Linked DNA regions of Macaca mulatta. The protein of the gene in region 4 interacts with the protein of the main gene of each other region in a biochemical or structural test. Links are inferred from orthologs where the notes say so. Each region holds a gene or a part of one and is shown on either strand. Other genes may lie near its edges. The genes, in order: TXNIP, CDC73, EGFR, PTPN11, SIRPA, INSR and SRC.

What was found.
Region 1: the proteins of PTPN11 (region 4) and TXNIP are reported together in a solved structure, tested with the Homo sapiens proteins (2 studies listed by BioGRID, with this or other methods). The link is inferred for Macaca mulatta from reciprocal best matches to the Homo sapiens genes PTPN11 and TXNIP.
Region 2: of the proteins of PTPN11 (region 4) and CDC73, one has a biochemical effect on the other in vitro, tested with the Homo sapiens proteins (2 studies listed by BioGRID and IntAct). The link is inferred for Macaca mulatta from reciprocal best matches to the Homo sapiens genes PTPN11 and CDC73.
Region 3: of the proteins of PTPN11 (region 4) and EGFR, one has a biochemical effect on the other in vitro, tested with the Homo sapiens proteins (4 studies listed by BioGRID and IntAct, with this or other methods). The link is inferred for Macaca mulatta from reciprocal best matches to the Homo sapiens genes PTPN11 and EGFR.
Region 5: the proteins of PTPN11 (region 4) and SIRPA form a complex in vitro, tested with the Homo sapiens proteins (2 studies listed by BioGRID). The link is inferred for Macaca mulatta from reciprocal best matches to the Homo sapiens genes PTPN11 and SIRPA.
Region 6: the proteins of PTPN11 (region 4) and INSR form a complex in vitro, tested with the Homo sapiens proteins (2 studies listed by BioGRID). The link is inferred for Macaca mulatta from reciprocal best matches to the Homo sapiens genes PTPN11 and INSR.
Region 7: of the proteins of PTPN11 (region 4) and SRC, one has a biochemical effect on the other in vitro, tested with the Homo sapiens proteins (2 studies listed by BioGRID and IntAct). The link is inferred for Macaca mulatta from reciprocal best matches to the Homo sapiens genes PTPN11 and SRC.

What each region holds. Positions count from the first base shown.
Region 1 is NC_133406.1:119,305,244-119,309,343, reverse strand, and holds the start of TXNIP (thioredoxin-interacting protein), read right to left. Parts: upstream 2,801-4,100; 5' UTR 2,494-2,800; coding exon 2,244-2,493; intron 1,695-2,243; coding exon 1,622-1,694; intron 1,509-1,621; coding exon 1,361-1,508; intron 1,249-1,360; coding exon 1,146-1,248; intron 1,014-1,145; coding exon 757-1,013; intron 648-756; coding exon 491-647; intron 378-490; coding exon 226-377; intron 97-225; coding exon 61-96; 3' UTR 1-60. UniProt on the Homo sapiens protein: May act as an oxidative stress mediator by inhibiting thioredoxin activity or by limiting its bioavailability.
Region 2 is NC_133406.1:50,674,708-50,678,207, reverse strand, and holds part of CDC73 (parafibromin), read right to left. Parts: intron 1,074-3,500; coding exon 857-1,073; intron 1-856.
Region 3 is NC_133408.1:73,468,115-73,472,345, reverse strand, and holds the start of EGFR (epidermal growth factor receptor), read left to right. Parts: upstream 1-1,431; 5' UTR 1,432-1,692; coding exon 1,693-1,780; intron 1,781-1,919; exon of another isoform or gene 1,920-1,975; intron 1,976-2,331; exon of another isoform or gene 2,332-2,471; intron 2,472-4,231. UniProt on the Homo sapiens protein: Receptor tyrosine kinase binding ligands of the EGF family and activating several signaling cascades to convert extracellular cues into appropriate cellular responses.
Region 4 is NC_133416.1:119,735,069-119,738,568, forward strand, and holds part of PTPN11 (tyrosine-protein phosphatase non-receptor type 11), read left to right. Parts: intron 1-1,158; coding exon 1,159-1,226; intron 1,227-1,705; exon of another isoform or gene 1,706-1,739; coding exon 1,740-1,891; exon of another isoform or gene 1,892-2,822; intron 2,823-3,500. UniProt on the Homo sapiens protein: Acts downstream of various receptor and cytoplasmic protein tyrosine kinases to participate in the signal transduction from the cell surface to the nucleus. Positively regulates MAPK signal transduction pathway. Dephosphorylates GAB1, ARHGAP35 and EGFR.
Region 5 is NC_133415.1:82,190,265-82,194,197, forward strand, and holds the start of SIRPA (tyrosine-protein phosphatase non-receptor type substrate 1), read right to left. Parts: upstream 2,801-3,933; 5' UTR 2,410-2,800; exon of another isoform or gene 1,829-2,409; intron 1,439-1,828; 5' UTR 1,430-1,438; coding exon 1,351-1,429; intron 1-1,350. UniProt on the Homo sapiens protein: Immunoglobulin-like cell surface receptor for CD47. Acts as docking protein and induces translocation of PTPN6, PTPN11 and other binding partners from the cytosol to the plasma membrane.
Region 6 is NC_133424.1:8,001,425-8,004,924, forward strand, and holds part of INSR (insulin receptor), read right to left. Parts: intron 3,059-3,500; exon of another isoform or gene 2,311-3,058; coding exon 2,243-2,310; exon of another isoform or gene 1,184-2,242; coding exon 939-1,183; exon of another isoform or gene 440-938; intron 1-439. UniProt on the Homo sapiens protein: Receptor tyrosine kinase which mediates the pleiotropic actions of insulin.
Region 7 is NC_133415.1:90,223,887-90,228,128, reverse strand, and holds the start of SRC (proto-oncogene tyrosine-protein kinase Src), read right to left. Parts: upstream 2,801-4,242; 5' UTR 2,724-2,800; intron 1-2,723. UniProt on the Homo sapiens protein: Non-receptor protein tyrosine kinase which is activated following engagement of many different classes of cellular receptors including immune response receptors, integrins and other adhesion receptors, receptor protein tyrosine kinases, G protein-coupled receptors as well as cytokine receptors.

The DNA.
Region 1 (4,100 bases), on a different chromosome or scaffold from region 4:
GTCCAGGAAGAGAGACAAAAAGAAAGAAGTAGGTAAAGCTGCTTCTTTTCTTCCACATGTTCACTGCACGTTGTTGTTGAGGATGCACGGATCCACCTAAAGGAAGAAACAGACTATTTCAGTTCAGGTAAGAACTAAAAGAACAAACCAGTTTAGCAATCCCTCTAAGTCAACTTCTTATAGAAAGCTTAGGACAAATTTAACAGTAAATATGACAATTCTCACCTCAGTATAAGTAGGTGGTGGCATGAACTTGAACTCAGGGGCATACATAAAGATAGGGCTGTCTTGAGCGCCATCCATGTCATCTAGCAGAGGAGTGGTGGGGCTCTCCAATCGGTGATCTTCGGGAATGATATCCATATAGCAGGGAGGAGCTAGAAAAGAAAATATGGCCACGTAAGAAGCCTGCCCAAGAAATGCTGGACCATCACAATTTTACAAACCCAGGTAGACCAGAAATGAAGAAAAGACATTAGGTCTGGCTCACCTTCTGGGGTATCAGGGATATTCAGATCTACCCAACTCATCTCAGAGCTGGTTCGGCTGGCCATGCTGGATGTTCTGCTGCTTAGACCTGATCTGCTGCCAATTACCAGGGGCAGGTCAAGGATGACCTTCTTGGACCCAGGAACACTAACATAGATCTAGAAAAGGAAGATGGTAGTTTGTTAGACCAGAGCGCTCTGGTGAAACAAGACAGTTATGGTAACAGATGAACAATTTCTCTGCTGAACCCACCCTGCATCTACTCACCAGTAAAGAATATTCAACTCGAAGAATGTTGCAGCCCAGGATAGAAGGCCTGATCTTCTGAACCCGAAGGCTCTTTCCACGCCATGATGCGCATGTCCCTGAGATAATATGATTGCCTCTGACTGATGACAACTTCTGAGTCAGCACCTTGGTCTGGCCATTGGCAAGATAAGTGTGGCGGGCCACAATGGCAGCTTTGGGGACCACAATTCGGGAACACGTATTCTCAAAGTCAGCATGGATGGAAATCTCATCACCTAGCAAAGAGAAAAATGAAAACTTACTGATACTCAGTATAGTTAATGACATTTCCTCTACCCCAGTCCCATGCCCTTGCCCCTAAACCTAGTTCCTGTTATATCTGTCTGCCATAAGCACTAGGATTTTACCTTCACAGAATCCTTTTCTGTCAATTCGAGCAGAGACAGACACCCGCCCATCAGGAATGAACATGCAGGAAACTTTCTTTTCCTTTTTAGCAGACACAGGTGCCTATGTAGAAGGGGACAAAAAAGTGTTTTGAGATGCTTTAATCTAATGCCCAAGACATCTGATTTATCATCCCTGTGACCCAGGAGAATATAATCTTTAAAATGAATCTCACCATTAAATCAGGAGTATTGACATCCACCAGATCCACTACTTCAAAGTTTTTCTTTGTCTCCTGAGTTGGCTGGCTGGGGCGGTCAAGAAAAGCCTTCACCCAGTAGTCTACACACCCATATTTTCCTTTGAAGGATGTTCCCAGAGGCCTGTGTCAAGAAAATGAAAATTTTTAAATGCTCTCCAAGGAACAGTAAGTGATCAAAGGAGGGCAAGATATTTTAGACAGAAAAGTTCAAAGATGCATTTAGCTGATATTTACCCCTGGGGAAGCTCAAAGCCGAACTTGTACTCATATTTGTTTCCAGGTCTCATGATCACCATCTCATTCTCACCTGAAGGGAAAGAAAATCGAGTAGCCATTAGGCTTCCTGTTACACTTAAAATGCATCTGTGTGATAAGGAATGTTTGGGTGGCATGCAAGGTATTGAAGTACCCCTAATTTCGTCCCACAGAGAGGTATTTTAATCATCCCATGTTGTTCTTAAAGAGAAATTCTGATGTATTTTGTTGGGCAGCAAGTTCCCAGGTTGCCCTGCAATGCTTTTAAAGATTCACCCAGGACAGTTCTTCACTAACATCTCAAACAGGAAGTAGGCAAAGAATAAGCAACTAATGCACACATAAGATTTTTAACTATCCGAGGCAATGCCCCTCAGAACCACCTTTAGGACACAGCACCATAAAAAATTGTACAAACCACCCTTTTTTTTGGGGGGTGTGGGGGGGAGAATGTCTGCAAATTAGAAAAAAGGAAGTAACAACGTGCAATTCACACCACTCAAACTGAGCAACTTAAAACATTTCGTATAGTTTTGTGTATTCCTTTCAATTCTCTTCTCTAATCAGCTTTCACCCTCCAACAATGAATTGGGCCGCTTACCTGTTGGCTGGTCTTCCGGAAGAAGCGTGTCTTCATAGCGCAGGTACTCCGAAGTCTGTTTGCACTGCTGGGATCCCTGCATCCAGAGCACTTTAGCCACTCCGCAAGCAAGGATCCTAACGGCTTTGACACGAGTAACTTCACACACCTCCACTATCACCCGGCCAGCCACCTTCTCACCACTGCCGTACACCTTTTCAGGGTCGTTAAAGACCACCTCAAAAGACTTGATCTTCTTGAACATCACCATGATGGGACGGAGTTGGTTTGAGAGTTAGAAAAGACCGTGGAAGAATAAAAAAAAAAATGCACCAAATCGAGGAAATTCCTTTGCAGTAAATTATTTCACTCTTCCTAAGGAATGAAGATATTCTTAAGCAGTTTGAGCTTAAAAATAAAATGAGATTTAAACAAATGAATTTTAACTAGGTTTTCGAAAAGGCGTCCAAAAAATTTACGCCGCTGGTTACACTAAGCGATTTCAGAGAAAAAGTCTTCTTTTCCCCGATTGCTGGAGAAGAGATCCGATCTCCGCAAGCACTTCTTGACAGAGAAAGAGAGGTTAGTTTCAAGCAGCAGGCGGAAACGGCTCTATATAGAAGCCCCGGCCAGAAGAGCCACGCGAGCGCTGGGTCGGAGGCTCGTGCTGCCCTCGTGCACATCCCTCCCATTGGCTGCCCGGTCCTTGTTTACCAGGAGCCCGACCAATCAGTGAGATCGCTGAGGCGCGTGGACACGGTGTGCTCCTGGCGGGGAAAATGGTTGTTGTGCTCGGGAGCGGCGCAGGGAGGGGGGAAGGAGAGGAATGCGGGGAAGGAGGGGGCTGTTGAGTCTTCACCCGGGCCTAGTGGAAGGAGGATACCACTGACCCTAAAACCTAGCCAGGGCGACAGGCCATCGGAGGGCGGGTGTGGACGTTTCTGGTCTGAGAGCGGTGGTTTGAGGTAAAAAGAAAATGTGCTTATGAGGGAATTTCATGCCTAGTCTTAGCCAGTGCAATTACTTTATAGTCTGTCGTTTATTCGTGGCTCGTAAATAGCAAGTGTGTGAAAATCCCATAGCTCCAAGAATACTTTTAGGTTTGGGGCCGTGGAGCACAGAATGCTTGGTGTTACTGTTAAGGAACAGCCCCTTTGTCCTTCTCTTGCCCCGCATCCCTATTAAATGTAAAAAAACACCACCATCTCTGAGGGAAAGGAGAACTTTCAGGCCTCATTGCGGCTGTAGGACTGATGTCTTCTACTTCCCGTTCCAATCCCTTGGGGCTAGGGCTGGGGGCTGCGTGCGTGTGCTGTTCGTCACCCCCCGCCCCTTGTACCCTCTCTTCTGTTCTCTCTGTTCTCTGGCACGGAAATAGGACAGGCGTGTTTACATCCTGTTGCTTATCCTGTTATCTCTTCAATTTCTGCCTGCAAAGTTGGGGAACACTTTGTCTGTGTTTCCCATTTACCTCATTACCTCTTTAGTGAGGTGTGTCCAGGCGCTGATAATCTCGCACTCCCTACCTGCTTCTGGAGGAAAAGGAAGTGGGGGGGCGGGGAACAAGGATGCTTCACTTTTTTCACTTTCTTCCAGAGTTATGTTCACTCTTTCTTGTCTCCCTCCCCTCTCCCAACTCACTAAATCAAATATACATCCATAAATCTGGTTAAAAGCAAGAAAGTCCTCTTGTTTATATCCAAATTTCCAGTGGAGAGATGGCCATACACCTGTTTGAAGGAACAATTTTTAAAAATATTTTCAAAGGTTTTTCCCTAAACGGTTTAGAAAACAGTAAGAAGGAAAAGAGAAGAAAGATCGGTCACTAGAGCACTATAAATTCAAGCCAGAAGAGACCCTTACCCTCCCTTTGTTGGT
Region 2 (3,500 bases), on a different chromosome or scaffold from region 4:
AATGAAAGTAAGTACATAAATCAGGGTAAATGCATCCTCTTTTTGGAGATCCATGAAAATACTGGACATTCAAGTATTTCAGATTTTTATCTTTCAAAATATAAAGTGCATATCTCCTTTAACCAGCAATTTGTTTCCAAGAATTAATCCTTTGTCTATATACACATAAATACACAAAGGTATATGTACAACAATGTTTTCTGATGCATTATTCATAACGGTGAAAAGGAAGCAAGGGAAGGAGGAAGAGAGGGAAACAGGAGGAGAAAGAGAGGAAGGCAGAGGGAGGTAGAGAGAAGAAAGGAAGGCCAGAGAAAGGGAGAAAAATCGCACCCTCTTTGGAGCAAAAACAAAAGAAAACAATTTCCACTAACAGGGAACAAATGAAAAAACTGCTATACCCACACAACAGAATATAGTGTATAAAATATACTCAATAAATGTTTGCTACAGATTTCCATAAGTTCTCTACTATGTGGGAAAAAAATGATGGCATTAATAACCAGAGAACTTGTCATCAATATTATTCCTTGTTTATTAGGTTTAAGCAAAAATGACTCAACAGGAAAACCAGACCATTCTTTGATTTGCAAATCATGTTTCAGGTGAAGGAGCTTGTATTTTGATTCCTACTTTTTCATCAGCATCTCTGATGAATAACAACCATATTCAAGAATGGAATGGTAAAAATCACCATCTGGAAATCTACATTATTAGTGAGCTCTCAAAGAGATAAAACTTGAAACTTCCACCTAAGAGCAAACTTTAACCAATTCTATAACCACAGATTAAACACACACACACACTCTCTCTCTCTCGATCTCTCTCACTCCAATGAATGAGTAAAATAAATTACCTTTCCTGTGCTTTGTAAGATGGTTGTTCGTGTCCTCCATACTCTCTCTCTGCTGACAATATCTCGGGTCACATCTACCTCAGCATCCACAAAACTCCTCTGTTTAAGGGCAGTTATGTCATCATCTAGATCAGTCTTGATAGTAGATCTTTTCTTAGCCATAATTTTGGCTTTGATTGCAGCAATTTTTTCCACTGACATAGCTTCAGATAAAGACCTAAAAGCAATTTCTTTTTTAAATTTTCACAGCAAGGATTCCCGGAGTGTATCATAAATATATTTTGTTACATTTATAAATTTCTGTTAAAAACACTTTAAGGGCAATAATTAAGGTTTTCTTATCTGTAAGACTGACTTGCTATTCTGCAATTACAATAAAATTTTTATAAAGAATTTATGTCAAGATACTACACTGAGAGCAAATTAGTAATTTCTTAGAAGTGTCAGTGCAACAAAATTCTTGATGGTTTTTCATCTCTTCACCGCAAAAAAGCAGGACTCATTAATATAGGTGCTTTTCTTTGTATTTTTTCTGTCTATAGAAATTACACACACACACAGAGGCCACTTTGGAAGGGGGTAAAAAATCCATCCTACAGAAAGTTCAAAGCCTAGGTTTTCCTTGAAATTTATTTCAAGGTTTCAAACTTGTATGCCATAGTGCAGAACATAATTAAGTGACAGGCTTTTATGTCACAAAAACATACTCCTTTAATCTCTGGAAGATAAAACCGTATTTTATTTTATACAGTTTCCTTTTTCTTCCCTTTCCTTGATTTTCAAATAGGCAAAATAGTAAAAAGAGACTATGTTTGCAGAAATATGAAAAAAGACTTAACACTGAAAGTATACATGTCATAAAACGATAATCTTAAGCAAAGTATCTTTTATCATGTAAAACGAGAAAAAGAATTAAAAAGTGTTTGGGTACCTTAATAACAGTAGACAAAAATATTACTTTAGTCACAAGATGAAAATCTTGAATTATGTTTACACAAAATCTGGAAAAAGGATGAAAATCCCTGCAGGTTTAAATACAGTAGTATTATATAGTATTCTAATTTTATTTAGATTAGGTATGAAGGTACTTTATAGTAGTGCTCATATGCACCTGGCATTTGATGCATTTTGTGTAATACTGTGCAGATTTCCCTTAAAATCTAAAGCACACCAGCATACCTTAAGCCAAATTCAAATACAGTACTCCACTGTTTGGCTTTCCAGTTTCAGTCACCCGCTATCAACCACAGTCCAAAATATTAAATGGAAAATTCCAGAAATAAATAATTCGTAAGTTTTAAATTATGTGCCATGCTCAGTAGCTTGTTGAAATCTTGTACTGTCCTGCCTGGGACACTTGCCTGGGATATCCAGACATGAATGATCCTTTTGTCCAATGTATCGATACTGTACACACTACCTGCCCAGTAGTCGCTTAATAGCCATCTTGGTTATCAGATTGACAATGGCAGCATCAAAGTACTTAGGTTCAAGTAGCCCTTATTTTACCTAATAATGGCCCCAAAACACAAGAGTAGTGACGCTAGCAATTCGCATATGCCACTCCCAAAGTGCTTCCCTTAAATGACAAGGTGACCTTGGGATTCCTTGGCTGGAGTTCAGGACTATCCGAGGTTTCAGGCACCCACTGGAGGTCTTGGAACATATCCCCGGAAGGTGGCTGGGTGACCACTGTACTTCTCCAAACTATAATCAAGCCTCCAATGGACTTTGAAACATAGAACTTCTACTTACAGCCAAGATGAAGTACCAGAGACTAGACTAACCCTCCAGCCTTTAAATAACCAGTCAAAATACATAAAACAATGGTTTACTAGATGCTAGATATCAAGCAATGAAGGACAGTAATTCCCTAACAAATGAGAAACAAACAAGGTAAGCCCTATGACTGCCTCAGCTTATTGCCTTGTAAGTTTCCAAGACATGGCCTTGGACAGAATAATTAGACAGAATAATGCCTAGTGGCCACACAAGGTGAAGAATAGTGCCTGTTCCACTAGCCAGAATGAAACCTCATGTTCATGAGGTATTACGTACTCAGAATGGTCTTGCCTCAGTGGGTGGGGAATAATTACCCTAGCAGACCAATGTTCAGATAAGTTAAAATCAAGACCAAAACTGTTTCCAAGAGATTTAACTGTGTCCCAAAAAAAGCTAAAGACGATGTGGGGAAATATAACAATATCTAGCACTCGACAAGGTAAAAAGTATACACAATGTTTGGTGTGCAATCAAAGATCACATGACATGTAATAAAGCAGGAAAATGTAATAAAGCAGACATGTAATAAAGCAGAATTAAGAGAAATATCAATTAATCTCAAGGCATGAAAATAATTACAAGAACTATGTTCTATATTTCAACAAGCTAAATAAAAAGATAAAGTAGGTATGTTTTTTAAAAAACAGCAAAACATACAAAAATTAGCCGGGTGTGGTGGCATATGCCTGTAATCCCAGCCACTCGGGAGGCTGAGGCAGGAGAATCGCTTGAACCCGGGAGGCGGAAGTTGCAGTGAGCCGAGATCACGCCATTGCACTCCAGCCTGGGTCACAAGAGCCAAACTCCATCTCAAAAAAAAAAGAGCAAAACAAACTTGAGATGAAAACTACAACGTTGGAGA
Region 3 (4,231 bases), on a different chromosome or scaffold from region 4:
TTGTTTTCTGTCTCTGTGTTTCTATAGGGACTGCTCTCAGCCCAGGTGTGCAGGAAGCACACACGTGCCTGCAGAGCCTTCACCATCTCTGCATCCAGGGACTGACTTCAACGCACAGTGGCTGTACTGATCCGCTAAAACAAAGGAACAAATTACTTCTTCTAATTCACAGGGAAGTTCCAGGTTGTACGGGTGGTGAGGAGCCTTGTGTCTGTCTGCGCTTGCCGTGGTGAAAAACCCACCGTTCAGGCTGCAGGGCGTGAAACCCAGGCACAAACACTTCGCTGGATGCGGAGGAAAGATGCAAGGTTGCTCCCCTTCAGAGACAGCAAAGGGCAGATCTGTAGCTCTACTTACTTCAGGATTATGATTTTTGACAGAGCCGGGAGATCAGGGTTGTTGAACCAGGCCTGAAGGTCCTAGTGAATCTCGTGAAGAGAGGAGGGGTCTGACTGTAACATGGACCTAGAGGACATTCTTACTGCAGGAGAAGCAACAGTGGGGATGGGGTGGACTTGCCAAAGGAATGTAGCTCAAGTTCCTGCAGCCTAAAGCAGCTCAGTTTCTTTCGGCCAAACTTTCGCGAACTTCCCTGGCATTTCTCCTGCGGGAGCTACCGGTGCAGTGGGACACTTAGCCTCTCTAAAAGCATCTCCACAGCTGTTTGTGTCAAGCCTTTATTCCAAGAGCCTCACTTTTGCGAAGTAACGTGCTTCACACATTGGCTTCAAAGTACCCACGGCCGGTTGCAGTAAACATTGAGGAGGCCTGTCTCTGCGCCCAAAGTTGGGTGCTCTCATTTCAGACGATTTCTAGGGTGCTTCACGGGATCTGAAGGACCCTCGGACTTTAGAGCACCACCTCGGACGCCTGGCACCCCTGCCGCGCGGGCACAGCGACCTCCTCAGCTGCCAGGCCAGCCTCTGATCCCCGCGAGGGTCCCTGGGTGCTGCAGGGGAGGTGGGGACCAGAATAAAGGAGCAGTTTCCCCGTCGGTGCCATTATTCGACGCTGGCTCTAGGGCTCGGCCAGTCTGTCTAAAGCTGGTAGAAGTTTGTTCTGTAAAACAAAAGAAGGGAAAGGGGGAAGGGGACCCTGGCACAGATTTGGCTCGACCTCGACATAGGCTGGGCCTGCAAGTCTGCGGGGACCCAGTCCAGAGGGGCAGTGCTGTGAACGCCCCTCACGGAAATTAACTCCTCAGGGCACCCGCTCCCCTCCCGCGCGCCACCCCCTTCCCGCGGGAGACCGGGTCCCGCGGGGGTCACCGCTGTCCACCGCCTCCGGCGGCCGCTGGCCTTGGGTCCCCGCGGCTGGTTCTCCTCCCTCCTCCTCTCATTCTCCTCCTCCTCTGCTCCTCCCGATCCCTCCTCCGCCGCCTGGTCCCTCCTCCTCCCGCCCTGCCTCCCCGCGCCCCGGCCCGCGCGAGCTAGACGTCCGGGCAGCCCCCGGCGCAGCGCGGCCGCAGCAGCCTCCGCCCCCGGCACGGTGTGCGCGCCCGCCGCGGCCAAAGCGGCCGGAGTCCCGAGCTAGCCCCGGCGGCCGCCGCCGCCCAGACCGGACGACAGGCCACCTCGTCGGCGTCCGCCCGAGTCCCCGCCTCGCCGCTAACGCCACAACCACCGCGCACGGCCGCCTGACTCCGTCCACTATTGATCCGGAGAGCCGGAGCTTGCTCTTCGGGGAGCAGCTATGCGACCCTCCGGGACGGCCGGGGCCGCGCTCCTGGCGCTGCTGGCTGCGCTCTGCCCCGCGAGTCGGGCTCTGGAGGAAAAGAAAGGTAAGGGCGTGTCTCGCCGGCTCCCGCGCTGCCCCCGGATCGCGCCCCGGACCCCGCAGCCAGCCCAGCCGCGCACCGGCGCACCGGCTCGGCGCCCGCGCCCCCGCCCGTCCTTTCCTGTTTCCTTGAGATCAGCTGCGCCGCCGGCCGGGACCGCGGGAGGAACGGGACGTTTCGTTCTTGGGCCAGGAGAGTCTGGGGCGGGCGGGGGAGGAGACGCGTGGGGCACTGGGCTGCGGGCCGGCGGGGAAACGGCCGCCTGGACCTCCGGCGCCCCGAACCGCTCCCAACTTTCCACCCTCACTTTCCCCGCCCCGCTGCGCGGAATCGGCGTCAGTGGGCGAAAGCCCCGTGCGGGTGGGTGCCTGGGGCCGGGGTCCCGCACGTGCGCCCCGCGCTGTCTTCCCAGGGCGCGGCGGGGTCGCGGCGCGCACCCGAGGGACTGGCGCTGCCCACCCGCCGAGGCTGCGCTGTTTAGGGAAGCTGAGGAAGGACCCCGAAAATAAAGCCTCCCTTCGGACCCCGCGGGACAGGCGGCTTCCTGAGCGAACCTCCCTGCCTCCGCGCTCCGCGCAGGTCTCAAACTGAAGCCGGAGCCGGCCAGCCTGACCCCGGCCCCTCTCCAGGTCCCCGCGATCCTCGTTCCCAGGTGTGGAGTCGCAGCCTCAACCTGGGAGCTGGGAGAAGTCCGCCACCACCTGCGGCGCCTGGGAAGGGGTGGTGCTGGCGGCGGTTAACTTCCTCGTTGGCAAAAGGCAGGTGGGGTCCGACCCGCCCCTTGGGCGCAGACCCCGGCCGCTCGCCTCACCCGGCGCGCCCTCGTCTTGCCGGTCCAGGTATGCCCCCCACCTCCTGGGGACCCGAGCTCCCTCCCGGGCGCCGGCGCAGAAAGGCCCGGGCTCTCGTTCGGTGGCCGCCTCGCGGGGACGTCCGGGTCTGCCCCACCTGCAGCCCTTCGGTCGCGCCTGGGCTTCGCGGTGGAGGGGGACGCGGCTGTCCGGCCACTGCTGGGGGGATCGCGGCCTCTAGTGCGGAAGCCCAGGAAGCAGAGCTCATCCTGGCCAGCACCACGGTGTTTCAAAATGGGGCTCACAGCAAAGTTTTCTCCTCAAAACCCGGAGAGTTTCTTTCTTGGATGTTTCTTTTTGCTGTCTGAAGAATTTGACATTGAGCCAACCAAAATATTAAACCTGTCTTACACACACACACACACACACACACACACACACACACACACACCGGATTGATGTCCCTGGTTCAAGTGTGCCAAGTGTCCAGACAGAACATGAGCGAGTCTGGCTTCGTGACTACTGACCATAAACCCACTTGACACGGGAAACATGCCTCGGAAGGTTTAATTGCACAATTCCAACCTTGAGCTGCGCGGGTTCCAAGAGCCAGGCCCGTACTTGCTGTTGATGTCACTGGCATGGGGAGTTGGGGTTTGGTGCCCAGCGCGGTCGTTGGGGGAGGGGCAAGACATAGAACAGTGGTTCCCAGACCTTGCTGCACGTTAGAATTACCTGGGATTAAAAAAAAAAAAAATCAAAACAAAAACCAGTGTCTGAATCCCGCCCCCAGACATTCTGATTTAATTGGCATGGGGCAAGACCTGGACATGGGATTTTTTTTTTAATGCTTTTCATGTGATCTGTTGGGGAGCCAGGTTTGGGGATCACCGGACGGAAGAAGGATTGTTAAAGTCTCCGGAGAGATTACTTGCCAATGCAAAGAGCTCTTTGAGGACATCTGGAATTTTAACAATGTTGCCAAATATAGGAAAGAGGGAAAAGGTGGGGTGTGGTTCCAATAATAAAAGATTCCTCTTTTCATTGAAGGAACTGGTGGAAAGGTTTCTTCTCTGCTGAGCTTGCAGGGCCCCTCCTGCCTGCTTGGGGGCTGACTGCGGGTCCTGTTAGTCAGGTGTCAGCCCTGTCTCTGCTGAAGAGACTCTTCTCTTTATTTTAAATTAAACCCTCAGAGCACCTCCAAAGCATCACTTTTCTCCCTCCAGTGGGGTTCTCATTCTTTGATGTTACTTGCTTGAACACCACTGTTAGTGATTGGAGATTTGTTCCTGAGAAAAATATAAATACCACTTAATTTGCCTGTTTATCCCGTATTCACTCAAAACAGAAACTCCTGAAGACAGAGAGAGTAGGTGAACAGGCGCTATTCTGTTACAGTAACATAAAAGACTGAATTTTCAGGGGCAAATTATTAAAGTAGGAGATGAGCTCTTTTAACAGAAATTTGTTTGAGACCTGTGTCTATCAAATTCAGTCGATTTTATTCAAGATGCACTTTGTTTAGTAAGGGTTTTGTTTGGTTCTGGGACATGCTAACTTCTGGACTTGCTGCTCTTAGACGTAATGACTGCCAGACACCGTTTCATGCGTCCTAATCCCCACATTAAGCATAAGAGGTGTACACTCTCCTCCTATGGGGGAA
Region 4 (3,500 bases):
CAGGTGTCTGACACCACGCCTGGCTAATTTTTGTATTTTGATAGAGACAAGGTTTTGTCATGTTGGCCAGACTGGTCTCGAATGCTTGACCTCAAGTGACCCACCTGCCTTGTCCTCCCAAAGTGCTGGGATTGTAAGTGTGAGCCACCACACCTGGCCCATTCTGTTCTCTTCTACCATAAATATATTTCTTCCCCAACACTATATTTGTTTGCCTCACAAGCTTCCAGCTGCTTTCTACCAACGCCTTTGAAGGAAGCTGTGCTGTGACCTTTGTAATGAGTCTGTGGGCTGCTGATTCTCCAGTCTGGGCTTCATGATTATACTGGGGAACATTGGGTCTCCTAAATCTCATTCATTTCTTGGGCAGGTAGATATATGTGAAACTTTTTTATTTGTCCAGTTGTTAAAGAAGCTACCATTTATTGAGCCAGCCTCTGAGCACAATGTTTTTTGTTTTTAATTTTTAAAATTATTTATTTCTTCTATTTCAGTAACTTTATTATTATTATTTTTTGAGACAGAGTCTCACTCTGTCACCCAGGCTGGAGTGCAGTGGTGCGATCTCAGCTCACTGCAACCTCTGCTTTCTAGGTTCAAGCAATTCTCATGTCTCAGCCTCCTGAGTAGCTGGGATTACAGGTGCATGACAACATGCCTGGCTAATTTTTGTGTTTTTAGTAGAGACGAGGTATTGCTATGTTGACCAGGCTGGTCTGGAACTCCTGGTCTTAAGTGATCATCTTGCTTCGGCCTCCCAAAGTGCTGGGATTATAGGCGAGAACCACTGTGCCTGGCCCTCTTTCAGTAATTTTGATGTATTTTTTTGTATACGATTCCTGTTTCATTCTGTCCAACCAGCACTCTGTATGGTATGTGCTGTTGTCCCCATTTCACAGATGCGGAAACTGAGGGTCAGAGAGGTTAAGGGACTTAACTCAGGCACGTTGTACTGGAGAAGCTGAACTCCAAGAGCAGGTTTGGGCTGACTTCAAAGCCCTGTGCTTTTTGCCAACATATTTTCAAACATAAAGAGACAATTTTATAAATAGCTCCCAAGAGTAGACATTGTTTCTGTTAATACTAATGGCTTGGTTTTGAGTCTGAAACCCCCATGAATGATTCTGTTGTCCCTGCTTTTTGTCCTTCTGCCCGCAGTGCTGGAATTGGCCGGACAGGGACATTCATTGTGATTGATATTCTTATTGACATCATCAGAGAGAAAGGTGGGTCATCTGGCGGGCAAGAAGTGACAGTTTCTGTTTTTAGTTTATGGAAGGAAAGTGCTCGTGAAAACAGCCTAGGGAAGAGAGGTTGAATGGGAAAAATTTTTCACAAAAATCTGGGCTGAAGACTTCAGTGTGTCTGCTTGAGAACAGAAGTGACACTATTTGAGCTTTTGGCATAAAATGAAGTCTAGGAGCTGCTGAACCCACTGCCGTGGCCTTTTGTTGCATACACAGTGGTGGTCTCTATCCAGCCACCTGAACCTTGTTTACAGTATGGGGTGATTTGTTGGAAAGTGAGGGAATCCTGACCTCTGCCACTTTATTATTTATGTAGTCTTCTGGGATCTTTGGTATTGGTCAGAAGTTCAACACTGTAGCCATTGCAACATGCTCAATTAAAACAACAAAGACTAAATCAGCATTGTCTGTGAGTCCACTAAAAGTTGTGTGTAAACAACTTCATCCTGGTTCTGCAGTTTCTCTTTATTCTTCTTGATGTTTCCTTCGTAGGTGTTGACTGCGACATTGACGTTCCCAAAACCATCCAGATGGTGCGGTCTCAGAGGTCAGGGATGGTCCAGACAGAAGCACAGTACCGATTTATCTATATGGCGGTCCAGCATTATATTGAAACACTACAGCGCAGGATTGAAGAAGAGCAGGTACCAGCCTGAGGGCTGGCATGCAGATTCGCATTCTCTTTCTAGGCCTCTTGGATACGCTCTCCTTTTGAGCAGGAGGAGAGGCTCTGATAGACAACTGTTTGATTTGGGAATGGGAAACAAACTCCCAACTAAAAGGGCTTCTGGAAACTGTTAATTATTCTCTACTTCTCAGCTCTGATTTTTCACTGCAGAGGAGCTTAGGGAAGGGCACCATCCTATCAGCCTGGCCTGCCAGATTGAAGAACTGCCATGCAGAAAGGTCTGATGTTCCCAGGCTCACGTGGCAAGCATAAAACTCAAAGCCTTGAAGTTTCTAGCCTGTTCCAGCCTTGATCCAGGCCATGTTTATCCTGATTCCATCCTTTAAAACGAATGCCTCACTCTTAATAGCGCACAGCAGTTTGAACCACTAATTTGGTCGAGTTGGAAACAGTGAAATTTCAATTTTAATAAGCTGTGCATAATGAAGAGGAATGTGGAATTGGAGCCTTTCCATCTGAAGCTATTCATAACAGGCACAAAGCTGAGTTAATTAGGAATATGCTGAGATGAAGGAAATGAGGAGAACTGCTCTTTTGGGGGCTGTGCTTCTCTCCCCCACCCCTCAACCCCATTGCCATGCTGCAGATGGGGTAGTGTCTAAACATCAGTGACGATTGCCTGCATTACTCTGCTCATTGCCTTCCAGAGAACTCAGCTTCTCCAAATGCTGAGCTCTTTTCAGAATGGGACCTGCCACCAATATTTGAAAGATTTCTAGACTAGCAGAATAGCAGCCACTTTATCAAAGTTTGGTGGGCCAAAGTAAGGTAACTGCTAATTAGTTTAGTAGGTTTTCAGTCCACACAGACATACGGAATTGTTTTATTATACATAGACATCTTCAGAAACTGTATGTATAGAAATTAAGGTCAAAATTTGAACTTCAGTGCTTTATTTTTTAAAAATTTTTATTTATTATTGTTATTATTTTTTGAGACGGAGTCTTGCTCTGTTGCCCAGGCTGGAGTGCAGTGGCACGATCTCGGCTCACTGCAAACTCTGCCTCCCAGGTTCACACCATTCTCCTGCCTCAGCCTCCCGAGTAGCTGGGACTACAGGCACCCACCACCGCACCCGGCTAATTTTTTGTATTTATAGTAGAGATGGGGTTTTACCGTATTAGCCAGGATGGTCTTGATCTCCTGACCTCGTGATCCACCCGCCTCGGCCTCCCAAAGTGCTGGGATTACAGGCGTGAGCTACTGCACCTGGCCAACTTCAGTGCTTTAAATCTGAATTTGTATTAAGTGATATGAAATATTTAGATGGTTACTATAAGTTATTTTATATATGTCTTCCATTATACTTAATTTGGCCCAAGAATAGTTAGGCAAAAAGTTGCCCAAAGAGAAGGATTTCCTAGTAAATACAAAGCAAATGTAGCATAGTTACTACAATTTGGAGCATGTTCAGGAATGTCTTTTTTTTTTTTTTAAATGAGAGAGGTCTCTCTCTGTTGACCAGGCTGGAGTGCAGTGGTGCAATCATGGCTCACTGCAGCCTCAGTCTCCCAGGGTTAAGCGATCCTCCCACCTCAGCCTCCCAAGTAGCTGGTACTACAGGC
Region 5 (3,933 bases), on a different chromosome or scaffold from region 4:
GGAGATGCCACTCACTGGAGAGACGTGAACTGTATCAGTGCTCCCTTCCACCCAGCAAGGACCCAACTATAACTGAAAACAACTGGGGGTGGGGTTGGGGGGGAGTGGGGTGGGGTGATACCTATGTGAATTCCTGGGTTTCAGGGGAAACTGCAGGGCAGGGAGAAGCAGCTGTCCACCCCCCACTTCTTCTTCCACCCACTCTTTGCTAGTTCTCCCTTTCTCCCTGCTATCAGATGGTTACCATCTCTAGGCAAATGCAAAAGGGGGTGTTGGACACTGAGCTCATCTTTACTTCCCTCCTCAAGGGTGGGAGGTACAGAGAGACCCCTCTGCCTACAACACAGCTTCAAGAGAACAAAAAACAGGATCCCCATTCTCTCCCTCCCAACTCCCTTAACGCCATTTCTCTGCTCCCCCCGCCCCCAAGCCAGTGCCCTCCCAGGAGACCCATGGTTTTGCAAAACCCATTTAAGAAGAAGGACTCCTGAATGGTGACCTCACCCTTTGGTGAACATACACAGTAGCCTTCAGAGCCCGCCTGCCGGCGACAGCCAGGTGTTTGATGTAGGCCAACAGAAAGACATGCTCAGAGCCACAGGTAACATCCCCGCGGAGCACCTGAACTGCAGGGAGCTGCCTGGAAGCTCGGGGAAGGCAGGAGGAAGTGGGAGCTGGGAGCGCCTCGAGGAGCAAGACCACCAGGGAGAGGCTTTGGCAACCACAGGGACAATTCACCGTGTTTTTACATAAGGATCTGTTGCTTGCAGCAGCTCGCTGTGGGGTTACCGTGGCCTCCCGGTTCCCTCTCTCCCAGGCACACACTAACACTGGTTTACTTGGCGCACCAGAGGGAGGGCTCACTCTTCCCTAATTGCAACAGCTTGTCTCTGTTCCATTCCAGGCAGCATTGGGGGAACCTCTGCCCTCACCTCCTCCCCTCACACCCTGAAGTCAAACGTGGAAAGCCGTATGTCCATGGGGAGAGATTCTGGGGAAGGAGGACCGCCCTACTCTGAAAGCCACTGTCAGTCAGCCTTCCCCATTGGACTGGGCAGGGGCTGAGTGAAGCAACTCAGCTCTTTTGTCTCAGTGCCCAGCACAGTGCACACAGTCAGAGTCCACAGAGACAAACTCTCAGAGAAGAGACTTGGATTCTACCCTTGGCTGTGTGACCTTGGACATGTCGCTGGCCCTCTCTGGGCCTCAGTTTCCGCATCTATAACGCTGGTTACAGGCGTCTCTCTCCCTATTACTGCTCAGCATTAGCCGAATGGGTCCCAGTGCTAGTCTGAGAGGCCTGAGCCCGCAGTTTGGGGAGGGCAGCGGTGGGGAGCGGGGGGTGCTTACCTGACCAGGCGCAGGACGCGGTGAGCAGCAGGCAGAGCAGCGGCCCGAGGCGGCCGGGGGCCGGGCCGGCGGGCTCCATGGGCCGCGGCTGCGGAGCGAGGAGGGAGAGCGGCCGTGAGTGCGCGCTCGGGCGGGAGCAGGCTGGAGCGGGGAAATGACTAAGACTCCCCCCCTTCCCCCCTCCCGGCTGGGCCTCCCCCCGACTCCGGAACGGGCGCCTGGAGCGGCTCAGGAGCCGCCGTCGCCGCCGCGGTTTTTGGAGACCCCCCTCCCCGCCCCCCAGGAGAAATCGAGAGACGGAGACGGGGAGAGACCCCAAGCGCGCGAGAAATAAAGCCAGGGGCGGCCAGAGAGAGGCGGCAGGAGAGAGAAACAGACCCAAGGGAGCCAGGCAGAGAGCCAGAGACACAGAGAGGCGAGAGGGGGAGAAAGAGGGGGAGAGCGAGCGAGCGAGGAGTGAGCGAGGCGGCGCGCAGACCGAGACAGACAGCGCGGGAGAGAGGACCGCGCGAGCAGGGGCGAGGGGCAGCACGGCCGAGCCCGGCCGCGCGGAGCCGCCCCCGCCGCTGCCCACCTGCCCCGCCCGGGCTCCACACGGCGCGGGCGGCTGAGCTCGCTCCCGGCCCGCAGTCCCGGCCGCTGCCCCCGCCCTCCCGGCAGCCCGGCCCCCTCCCTCCTTCCCTTCCCCCCTCCTCCCGTCTTCCCGCCGCCCGGGGAGGCTTCGGGGCTCCGGCCCCGCCGGCACCTTCTCGGCGAGCGAGCGCCCGCCTGCGCGCCAGCCAGCAGCGCGCCCCGGGGGAGGGAGCGAGGGCTGCGAGCAGCGCGCCCGGCCGGGGAGGGCAGCGTCGCCCCCCGCGCCGGCGCCCGAGCCCCGGCACCCCCGCGCGGGCCCCCGGCTGCTGCCCGTGAAGGCGGCCCCGCGAGCCGCCGCAGCCCGCTCGGGCTCGGGACTAGACGAGCCTCCGGCTCCGACGATGTACCAGTTCAGAAGCCCGCGCGGTTCGTCCCCAGCCCCGACCCGTCCCGCTCTGCCCCTCCCCGTCCCTGCCAGGCTCGGACCTGCGCCGCCCGCTAGGGCTGGAAGGCACTAGAAGCGCCGCCGGGGCTACCCAGAGGCCGGGTCCCCGCTCCACTTTGCGCAAACTTGTTTTTCTAAGGTCAGCGCCGCGAGCTGGCTACATCGTCCTCTTAAGGTGGACTGGGGAAGTTGCGGCCGACCTCCCCTCGCCTCCGGATTCTGGCCGCGCGTCTACTCCCCGCTTCCCACTGGCGAGAGGCTGGAGGCGGCGAAGGAGTCGGGGAGTGGAGGCGCGGGGGTCGGGGGGTGTCTGCCTTTAACCCTCCCCAAGAGGTCGTGCCTCTGAGCCCCAAAGCTGAAGGCCCCTCTTGGGGATGGGTGCGGGCCGGAGGGGCCCGATCCTTTCAGAGCCGGGCCGAGGTGAAGGAAAAGAAGGAAGTAAGTGAACGCAGGGGGAAGGGGAGAGGAAGAAGAGAGTGATGGTACAAAAATAGCGTGTGTGTAGGAAGGACTTCGGTGCCGCCTGGAAAAGAGGAGCGGGGAGGAGAGGGAGCGAGAAGGGGGCTGTGGCGGGGAACCAGAGGGGAAGGGCCGGGGCCTTCCCAGGGAGGTGGGAGCCCCCTGGCCAGGTGTCTCGGTGGTGGAGGGCAGATTGAGGGGGTGGGGAGGCCCAGGAGGGGGCGTGTGTGGGAGAGCGGGGCCCTGAAGGCATGGGTTCCAGGAGAAGGACAGGCCCGGAAGAAGATGAGGGGTGGGAGCCGGAGCCAGAGGCTTGGAGTTGGAGAGGACAGAATCTCGGTTTTCCTGGAGGGAACGCCGTTCCTGTAGCAGCCAGGTCAGTGATGGGGAGTGTCAGTGTCCTGGTCACCTGGCAGAAGTAGGCTCCGCATTGTGGGAGGAACACGAGTTCAAGACCCGCTGCTAATGGGAGAGAATTTTGCTTCACGCAGTGGCAGTTAAGAGGGTAGGAATAACACAAGGTGAGAGAGGGCCCAGCCCTGTAAATGGACAGAACGTTGAGGCCCAGAGAGGGAATAGGTTTGCTTAAGGCCACACAGCAAAGCTTGGGGTAGCAACAAGATTTGAATTCCTGATTCCCAGGTTAAAGACCTATGCAAAGTAGCACCACCACCTCCCCTCCTGCCCCAAGCCTCCTGGTTAAATGCCTGGTCCTGCTGTTGTGCAGGGGGGCAGGGAGGGTGCCACACTTGAGAACATGGGCTGAACTCCCTGGGTTCAAATCCCCTGGTTACTGTTATGAGCTGGGTAGACTGGAAAGTACCTTACCTCTTCTGTGCCTCAGCTTCTTCATCTGAAGTGAGGCCAGCGTGAGTCTCAATTGTGAGGATTAGATGAGTTAATATTTGTAAGACGTGTTAAAAAGAGCCTAGCATATACCAAGTGCAGCATAAGCATTTGATAAATAAGTGAAGTGTTTGACAGCAGTCCTTGAGAACCCACAGGGTTTTGGGCAGCATTTGAAGTGCAAGGGAATTTTCATTTCTTTGGGTGTGGGAGAGCACGAGGTCCCTGTCCATGAGGAATTTATATTCTAGTAGGGGAGA
Region 6 (3,500 bases), on a different chromosome or scaffold from region 4:
GGGTTTGGAGTCAGCCAGGGGCGGTGGCTTATGTCTGTAATCCCAGCACTTTGAGAGGCTGAGGCCGGTGGATCACCTGAAGTCAGGAGTTCGAGACCAGTCTGGCCAACATGGCAAAATCCCATCTCTACTAAAAATACAAAAATTAGCCGGGTGTGGTGGTGGGCTCCTGTTATCCCAGCTACTCAGGAGGCCGTGGCAGGAGAATTGCTTGAACGCGGGAGGCAGAGGTTGAGTGAGCCAAGATTGTGCCACTGTACTCCACCCTGGGTGACAGACAGAGACTCTGTCTTAAAAATATATAAAAATAAAAATAAAGGTTTTGGAGTCTGTCTCCGCCTGCTGTTTTGGAAGCTCTACAGGGGCAGGAATCCACTGTATCACGGGGACAAGAGCAGGGTTTTAAATGCCCCACAAATATGTGTGGCAAGGATGAAAGTGCATGGGACTCAAAGAGAAACAAAGGAGCAGAAAGGCAGGAAGAGTTCGTGCTGCCTTCAAGGGAGAGTAGGAATGATGGCAGGTGGTATGAGGTGGACCTCTGTGTGGTCCTGGGTTACAAAGGAGCCAGGAAAAAGCAAGAAATGGAGGAGTCTAAAAAGCAACAGAAGATTCTGGAAAATGATGGAAGAGTCCAGAAAGTGGTAGAAGATTCCAGAAAATGATGGAAGATTCTAGAAAGTGATGAAAGAATCTGGAAAGCAATGAAGCATTCCAGAAAGTGATAAGACAGTGATAGAGTCTGGTTCCAGGCAAAGTGGGAGAGGATGTGATTTGAGAAGGGAACAATCCCTCCCCACACCTTTAGGATGGGTAGTAGAGTGGGGGTTGGGCAGGAGGTTACACCCAGTGTCCTCTGTCACTCTGTGCAGGAGGAGGAGGCAGAGAGAGGGAAGGGGCAGGAAAGCCAGCCCGTGTCCCACCCCCGCTGGACTCACCACATGATGGCAGGTGAAGCCCTTCATGACCGAGGCCTCATTGAGGAACTCAATCCGCTCTCGGAGACTGGCTGACTCGTTGACCGTCTTCACTGCCACGCGGGTCTCTGCCTCACCCTTGATGATGTCCCTGGCGTTGCCCTCATACACCATGCCGAAGGAGCCCTGCCCCAGCTCTCGAAGGAGGGTGATCTTCTCTCGAGGCACCTCCCACTCGTCCGGCACGTACACAGAGCATGGAAACACTACTTCTCACTTATCTACACAGCATCTTTGGCTGATCCCTTGGGGGTCTGCAGCCACCTTCCACCCAAGCCCTCACCCAAACCTCCTCGAAAACACTCATGAAGTGAGTTCTGTGATCCAGGACCCATGCCAGGCACTGGGCGTACGGCTGAGAACAGGACAGGCATCTGCACCCATGGAGAGGGCATGGCAGAGACTCAAGGAAGGAGCCACAACTGATTCAAGATCCTGGTCAATATGTCCTGAGGCAAACCTGCATCCCCATCCTTCTTGTCTGATTTCAGATCCTTGCCACAGAATGGTGCTACTTCCCACCTGAGACTACTATTTCTGCAAAGTGCCAAGGGGATGGTAGACAGGTTGTAATAGGTTGGGGGTTAAAAAAAGCCAGGATACTTGGCAGCTCTTTCCATGAAAAGGTGGAGTCTATCTCACCACCCCTTGGCTCTGGGCATGGCCTTGTGAGTTATTTTGGTCAATGGGAATCAGCAGGAATGACCCAAGCAGAAACTCCGAATGGACTATTGCCCTGGAGCTTGCCCTCTCTTGCTACTAGGAACCAACAGAGTACCATGTAATGAAGCCTAGGCCAGCCTGCTGGAGCCTAAGAGGCCACATGGACAGAGTGAGGCTCAGCCTCCCCCAGCTTAGGGCCCCCACGTCGGGACCACCCAGCCTGCCGACCACCAGACATGTGAGTGAAATCATCTAAGACTACAAAGTGCTAGCTGACACACCAGCAAAATGTAGCTACATGGGTGAAGCCAGGCAAGACCAGAAGAAGAACCGCCCAGCTGAGCCCAGCCCAAGTTGTCGACCCCATCCAAGGGTCCCAGACCGGCTAGATGAGCCCATCCAGGCAGGTGCCAAATACCATGTGTCCACATGCACACAGTAATGAGGTTTCTGCAGCAAGGGCAGTTTGGCAAGCTCAAATGACTAAGAGGGCTTTTCTTGGCCTCCCTGGGGAACCCATCCTTCACTCTCACTCAATGGTGAAGGCAAAGGAAGCTGTTGAATAGGGTACTGGTCACCCACAGGGAAGGGATGGTACTCACCATCACTGGCACTGAGATACTCAGGGTTTGAAGAAGCGTAAAGCGGTCCCAGCGGCCCATCTGGCTGCCTGGAGGAGAAAAATGAGGCACATTAGCTTGAGGTTCTCATGGGACTCTGCAGGTCTCCAGAAAGGGGTTTCATACAAGACTCCTCAAGGCAAATGGCAGCCCTTACCAGCAGAATCCCCATAATTCTAGATGCAGTCTAGGGCAGGGATGGGGGACCTTTATGTTTTGAATGGAAGCCCATCAGACAAGTACTTAAGTGCATCAACATGGCAGCAGCACTGATCCCTCCCCAGGTTTTTTTTTTTTTTTTTTTTTTCACATTTCAGAGTTGGAGTCTTGCTGTGTTGTGGCTGGACGGCAGTGGTTTAATCATAGCTCACTGCAGTCTTGACCTTCTGGGCTCCAGAGATCCTCTCACCTCAGCTTTTTGAATAGCTGGGAATACAGGTGCTCACCACCACACCTGGCTGCTAATTTTTAAAATTTCGTAGAGACAGGGTCTCACTATGTTGCCCAGGCTGGTCTTGAACTCTTGGTCTCAAGTGATCCTCCTGCCTCATCCTTCTGAGTGGCTGGGATTACAGATGTGCACGACCATGCAGGGCTCTGGCTGGCTTTTATTATAATTTATGGCCGTCTATGTAACACTTAAAAGCCACTCACCCAGTACTGTTCTACAGCGAGCTCATCCCGACTGATGAGAAACAATTATTAAATTTTCAGGAAACGAGTGAGCCAGTTATTAAATACAAGCATCATTAACGATTAAATTGTGGCCGGGCGCGGTGGCTCAAGCCTGTAATCCCAGCACTTTGGGAGGCCGAGGTGGGCGGATCACAAGGTCAGGAGATCGAGACCACAGTGAAACCCCGTCTCTACTAAAAATACAAAAAATTAGCCGGGCGCGGTGGCGGGCGCCTGTAGTCCCAGCTACTCAGGAGGCTGAGGCAGGAGAATGGCGGGAACCCGGGAGGCGGAGCTTGCAGTGAGCCGAGATCGCGCCACTGCACTCCAGCCTGGGCAACAGCGTGAGACTCCGTCTCAAAAAAAAAAAAAAAAAAAAGATTAAATTGTACAATGCCTTCCAAATAGAACAAAAAAATGTAAATTATAGAGGCTTGCAATTAAATAAATTACCCTAAAAGCAAAGACAATACATGTTCAAAACTCATCACTTTCTAACTCTCATACTCCATTTTACTATGATCAATGCAGTTGAGGTTATTTACCTTATATCATTTATACACCA
Region 7 (4,242 bases), on a different chromosome or scaffold from region 4:
AGGAGAAAATATTTGTAAATCATATACTTGTATCTACAATATATAAATATCTCTTACAGTGGCTCATGCATGTAATCCCAGTGCTTTGGAAGCCAAGACAGGAGGATCTCTTGAGGCCAGGAGCTTGAGACCAGCCTCGGAAACATAGTGAGACCCCTACTAAAAATTAAAAAAAAAAATTAGCCGGGCGTGGTGTTGCATGCCTGTGGTCCTATCTACTCAGGAGGCTGAGATGGGAGGATTGCTTGAGCCCAGGAATTTGAGGTTACAGTCAGCTATGATCACACCATTGCACTCCAGCCTGAGTGGCAGAGTAAGATCCTATCTCTACAAAATTAAAAAAAAATTAAGCCAGGCATGGTGGCACACGCTTATAGTCCTAGCTACTTGGAAGGCTGAGGCAGGGGGATCACTTGAGGCCAGGACTTCTAGACTAGCCTGGGCAACATAGTGAGACCTTGTTGCTAAGACAAAAAAAAAATAGATTACATTAATAATAAAAGTAGGCAAAGAACTTGAATAGACATTCCTCCAAAGAAGATATACAAGTGGCCAATAAGCACATGAAAAGATGCTTAATGTCACTAGTAATTAGGGAAATAAAAATCAAAACGGCTGAGTACAGTGGCACATGCCTGTAAACCCAGCACTTTGGGAGGCCGAGGTGCGAGGATCATTTGAGCCCAGGAGTTCAAGACTAGCCTGGGCAACACGGTGAGACCCTATCTCTACAAACTAAAAAAAAAAAAAAAAGGGCCTGAGCCAGGTGTGGTGGCACACACTTTTGGTCCCAGCTGCTCAGGAGGCTGAGATGAGAGGATTGTTAGAGCCCAAGAGTTTGAGGCTGCAGTGAGCCTCGGCAACAGACTGAGACCCTGTCCAAAAAAAAAAAAAATCAGAACCACCATGAGATGCCACTTCACAGACACTAGGACGGATGACTAGAATCTAAAAGACAAATGTTGGCAAGGATGTGGAGAAACTGGAACCCTCAGACATTGCTGATGGGAATGTAAAATGGTGCAGCTGCTTTGCAAAACAATCTGGCAGTTCCTCAGAAAGTTAAACATGGAATTACCATATGATCTAGCAATTCTACTCGTAGGTACACACTCAAGAGAAATGAAAAACATATGTCTACACAAAAACTTGCACATGAATGTCCAGAACAGTATTACCCGTAATAGCCAGAAAGCCCAAATGTCCATCAACTGATGAATGGATAAATAAAATATGGTATATCCATATGATAGAATATTATTTGGCAAGAAAAAAAGAATGAAATATTGATCCATGCTACAACATGAGTGAATCTTGAAAACATTATGCTAAGTGAAAGAAGTCAGCCGCAAAAGAGTACACTTGAATGATTTCATTTCTATTAAATGCCCAGAATAGGCAAATCTATAGAAACAGAAACTAGATTAGTTGCCGCCTAGGTCTAGGGGAGGGAAGTTTAGGGGGAAGTGGGGAGTAACTGTAATGGGTAAAGTTTCTTTGTAGGGTAATGAAAATGTTCTAAATTTGACTGTGGTGACGATTGTACAACTCTGTGACTCTACTAAAAACCACCGAATTGTATACTTTAAATAGATAAATTGTATGCTATGTGAATTTTATCTCAGTAAAGCTGTGATACACATTTTTCAAATAAACTACACTGGGGGCCACTGTTCACCTATCAGCTCGGCAAATTGCACTTATGCAATTTATCCCCAAATTTGGTAACATCCTATGCTGGTGAGAGTGAGGAGAACAGAGGGTGTGGGGACACCAGCGCAATCTCTCTGAAGGACAATTTGGCAATACCTATCACAATTACACACCCACTGACCCTGCAGTGTGGAATTAATCCTAAAAGAACACACAAACACAAGGCATATGATTGAGGATATTCATTTGTGGAATTGCCTAGAACAAGCAAAAGACTGGAAACAACCAAAATATCTGTCCTTAGTTAAGTACAGTGTGACCACCGTACATGCAGTGGAATACTACGCAACCATGAACAAGAAAAATGCAGCACAAATAAATGACCTCTGAGGTACACTGTCAAGAGAAAAAAGTCAGTTGAGGACAGGGTAGACTGTGTGCTATCATTTATCTAAAAAAGAGAAAAAAATTTCCGGCTGGGGGTGATGGCTCACACCTATAATCCCAGTACTTTGGGAGGCTAAGACAGGAGGACTGCTTGAGCCCAGACATTCAAGACCAGCCTAGGCAACATAGTGAGACTCTGCTTCTACAAAAAAATAAATAATTAGCTGGGTGTGGTGCATTTCCCTGCAGTCCCAGCTCCTTGGGACGCTGAGGTGGGAGGATCGTTTGAGCCCAGGAGTTCGAGGCCTCAGTAAGCATGATTGTGACACTGCACTACAGCCTGGGCAACAGAGTAAGACCCTAAGAAAAAAACAAAATTCTTTGCAAATGTGTAATATTGAGTCAAGTGCGGAAGCTAAAAATATCAACACCTGGCATTCCCATCATTATTGAAATTCACATTATGCTAAAAAAATTGTTAATATACATGCTTATATATGCCTGGATCTCCCTGGAAGGATACACCAGAAATTTTTTCAAGTGGTTGACTCTGGCAAGGAGACCTGGGTGTGAGAGAGACTTACTTTTCCCTGTCGTGTGTGTGTGTATGTGTGTGTGTGTGTGTGTGTGTGTGTGTGTGTGATGTTTTTTCTTTCCTTTTTAAAGAAAAAACACAAACTTACCTGGTTTCAAATCCTGGCTCTGTCTCTCATAGCTGGCCAAGTTGCTTCACTTCTCTGAGCCTCTGTTCTCTGTTCTGTAAAGGGAGGGATAATAGGATTAATATCCACCTTGCAAGGCTGGTGTGGAAGATGAAATAAGACAGCACAAGCTCAGGGCCCCCCCCCCGCTGCCTGGCTCCTAGTAAGTGCACAGTCCCTGTTTGCCATTCATCTGTAACTATGGACACTGCAGTGCACTGTAACAGGGACCACCAGAGAGCCTCAGAGCAAGTGTTCCAAGGACCAGCATCCCCTCTGGCTGGGAGAAACTGGGAAAGGCTTCCTGGGGGAGGCAGCATTTGCGAAGGGCTTCGAGGACAAGAAGGATTTCCACAAGTAGAGATGAATGGGGGCCACATTCTTGGCAAAGGGGGCCACACAAGCAAAAGGCCAGGAGTGGGAAAGCCCTGGACAGTCACTCAATGGTGCACTGCCAGGCTCCTCCAACAAGGCTTAGCTGAGCACCTACTGATGCCATAGTGGGAAAGACAGTCAAAAGCCATGTAGCTGGGCTGGCCGAGGGAGGAACTACAGAAAGTATCGTGACAGGGATAACGAGGGGCCAGGTCCACAGGCTCATAGAGCAGGCCGGGAAATGGAGGCTCAGAAAGGGAGAGGGGCCATCCAAGATCACACAGCAGGTTCCCAATTTCTGAACATAGCCTCTCTCAGCTTCACCCTCTCCTTGTCCTCTAGACCTGGAGAAGAGAAAGTCCAGAGGGGTCCTCCGGCCATGCCCTCATCAGGGGGTGGACACAGAGGCCAAATAAACCAGGGGCCCCACAAGGAGGAGGGATGGTTGATCCTCAGAGGATAACAACAGCTACAGCGTCACCATCACGGTGTTGCTGGGTGGCGCGCACCATGCTTAGGAACTCAGTGAACCACCCCAGCCCTCTGTGGCGGGCCCTGATTTGCAGATGAGGAAACTGAAGCACAGAGAGGTGGAGCTGCTTGCCTGATGTCACACAGCTCATAAGACACAGCACTGGGAGGCAAACCCAGACTATCTGGGTTCCACCGTCTCGTACCCCAGAGCCCATTCCTTAAAGGAGGCCCCAGCAGGGCATCCTATCAGTGATCACATCCGCTCAGAAGGGCCCAGGGTGGAAGCTGTTCTCAGCCAGTCCTGGAATGCCTCCTGATAACAGTGCCCCAGTGGCGGGGGAAAGGTGGGAGGCGGGCCAGGGAAGAGCAGCAGTGGGTGTAGTGTCAGGCCTGTGCGGGGATGAAGGGGGAAGGCGGCGGGCAGGGACTTGGCCCTTTGGCAGCCATCCTCTCTCTGACGGGAGAGCAGAAGGGCTTGTCAGGCACCTGCCCAAGCCAGGTGGGGGCATCATGGTTAAGGGGACCCTGCTGCCACCACAGGAGGACTCTGGGCACATGGACTGAAGTTTCCTTCAGTACCATGGAGATGCCCATAGTCACCCTCAGGTAGTTGCAAAGGCTAACAGGTGAATCCACGCCAAGACCTGGGCAC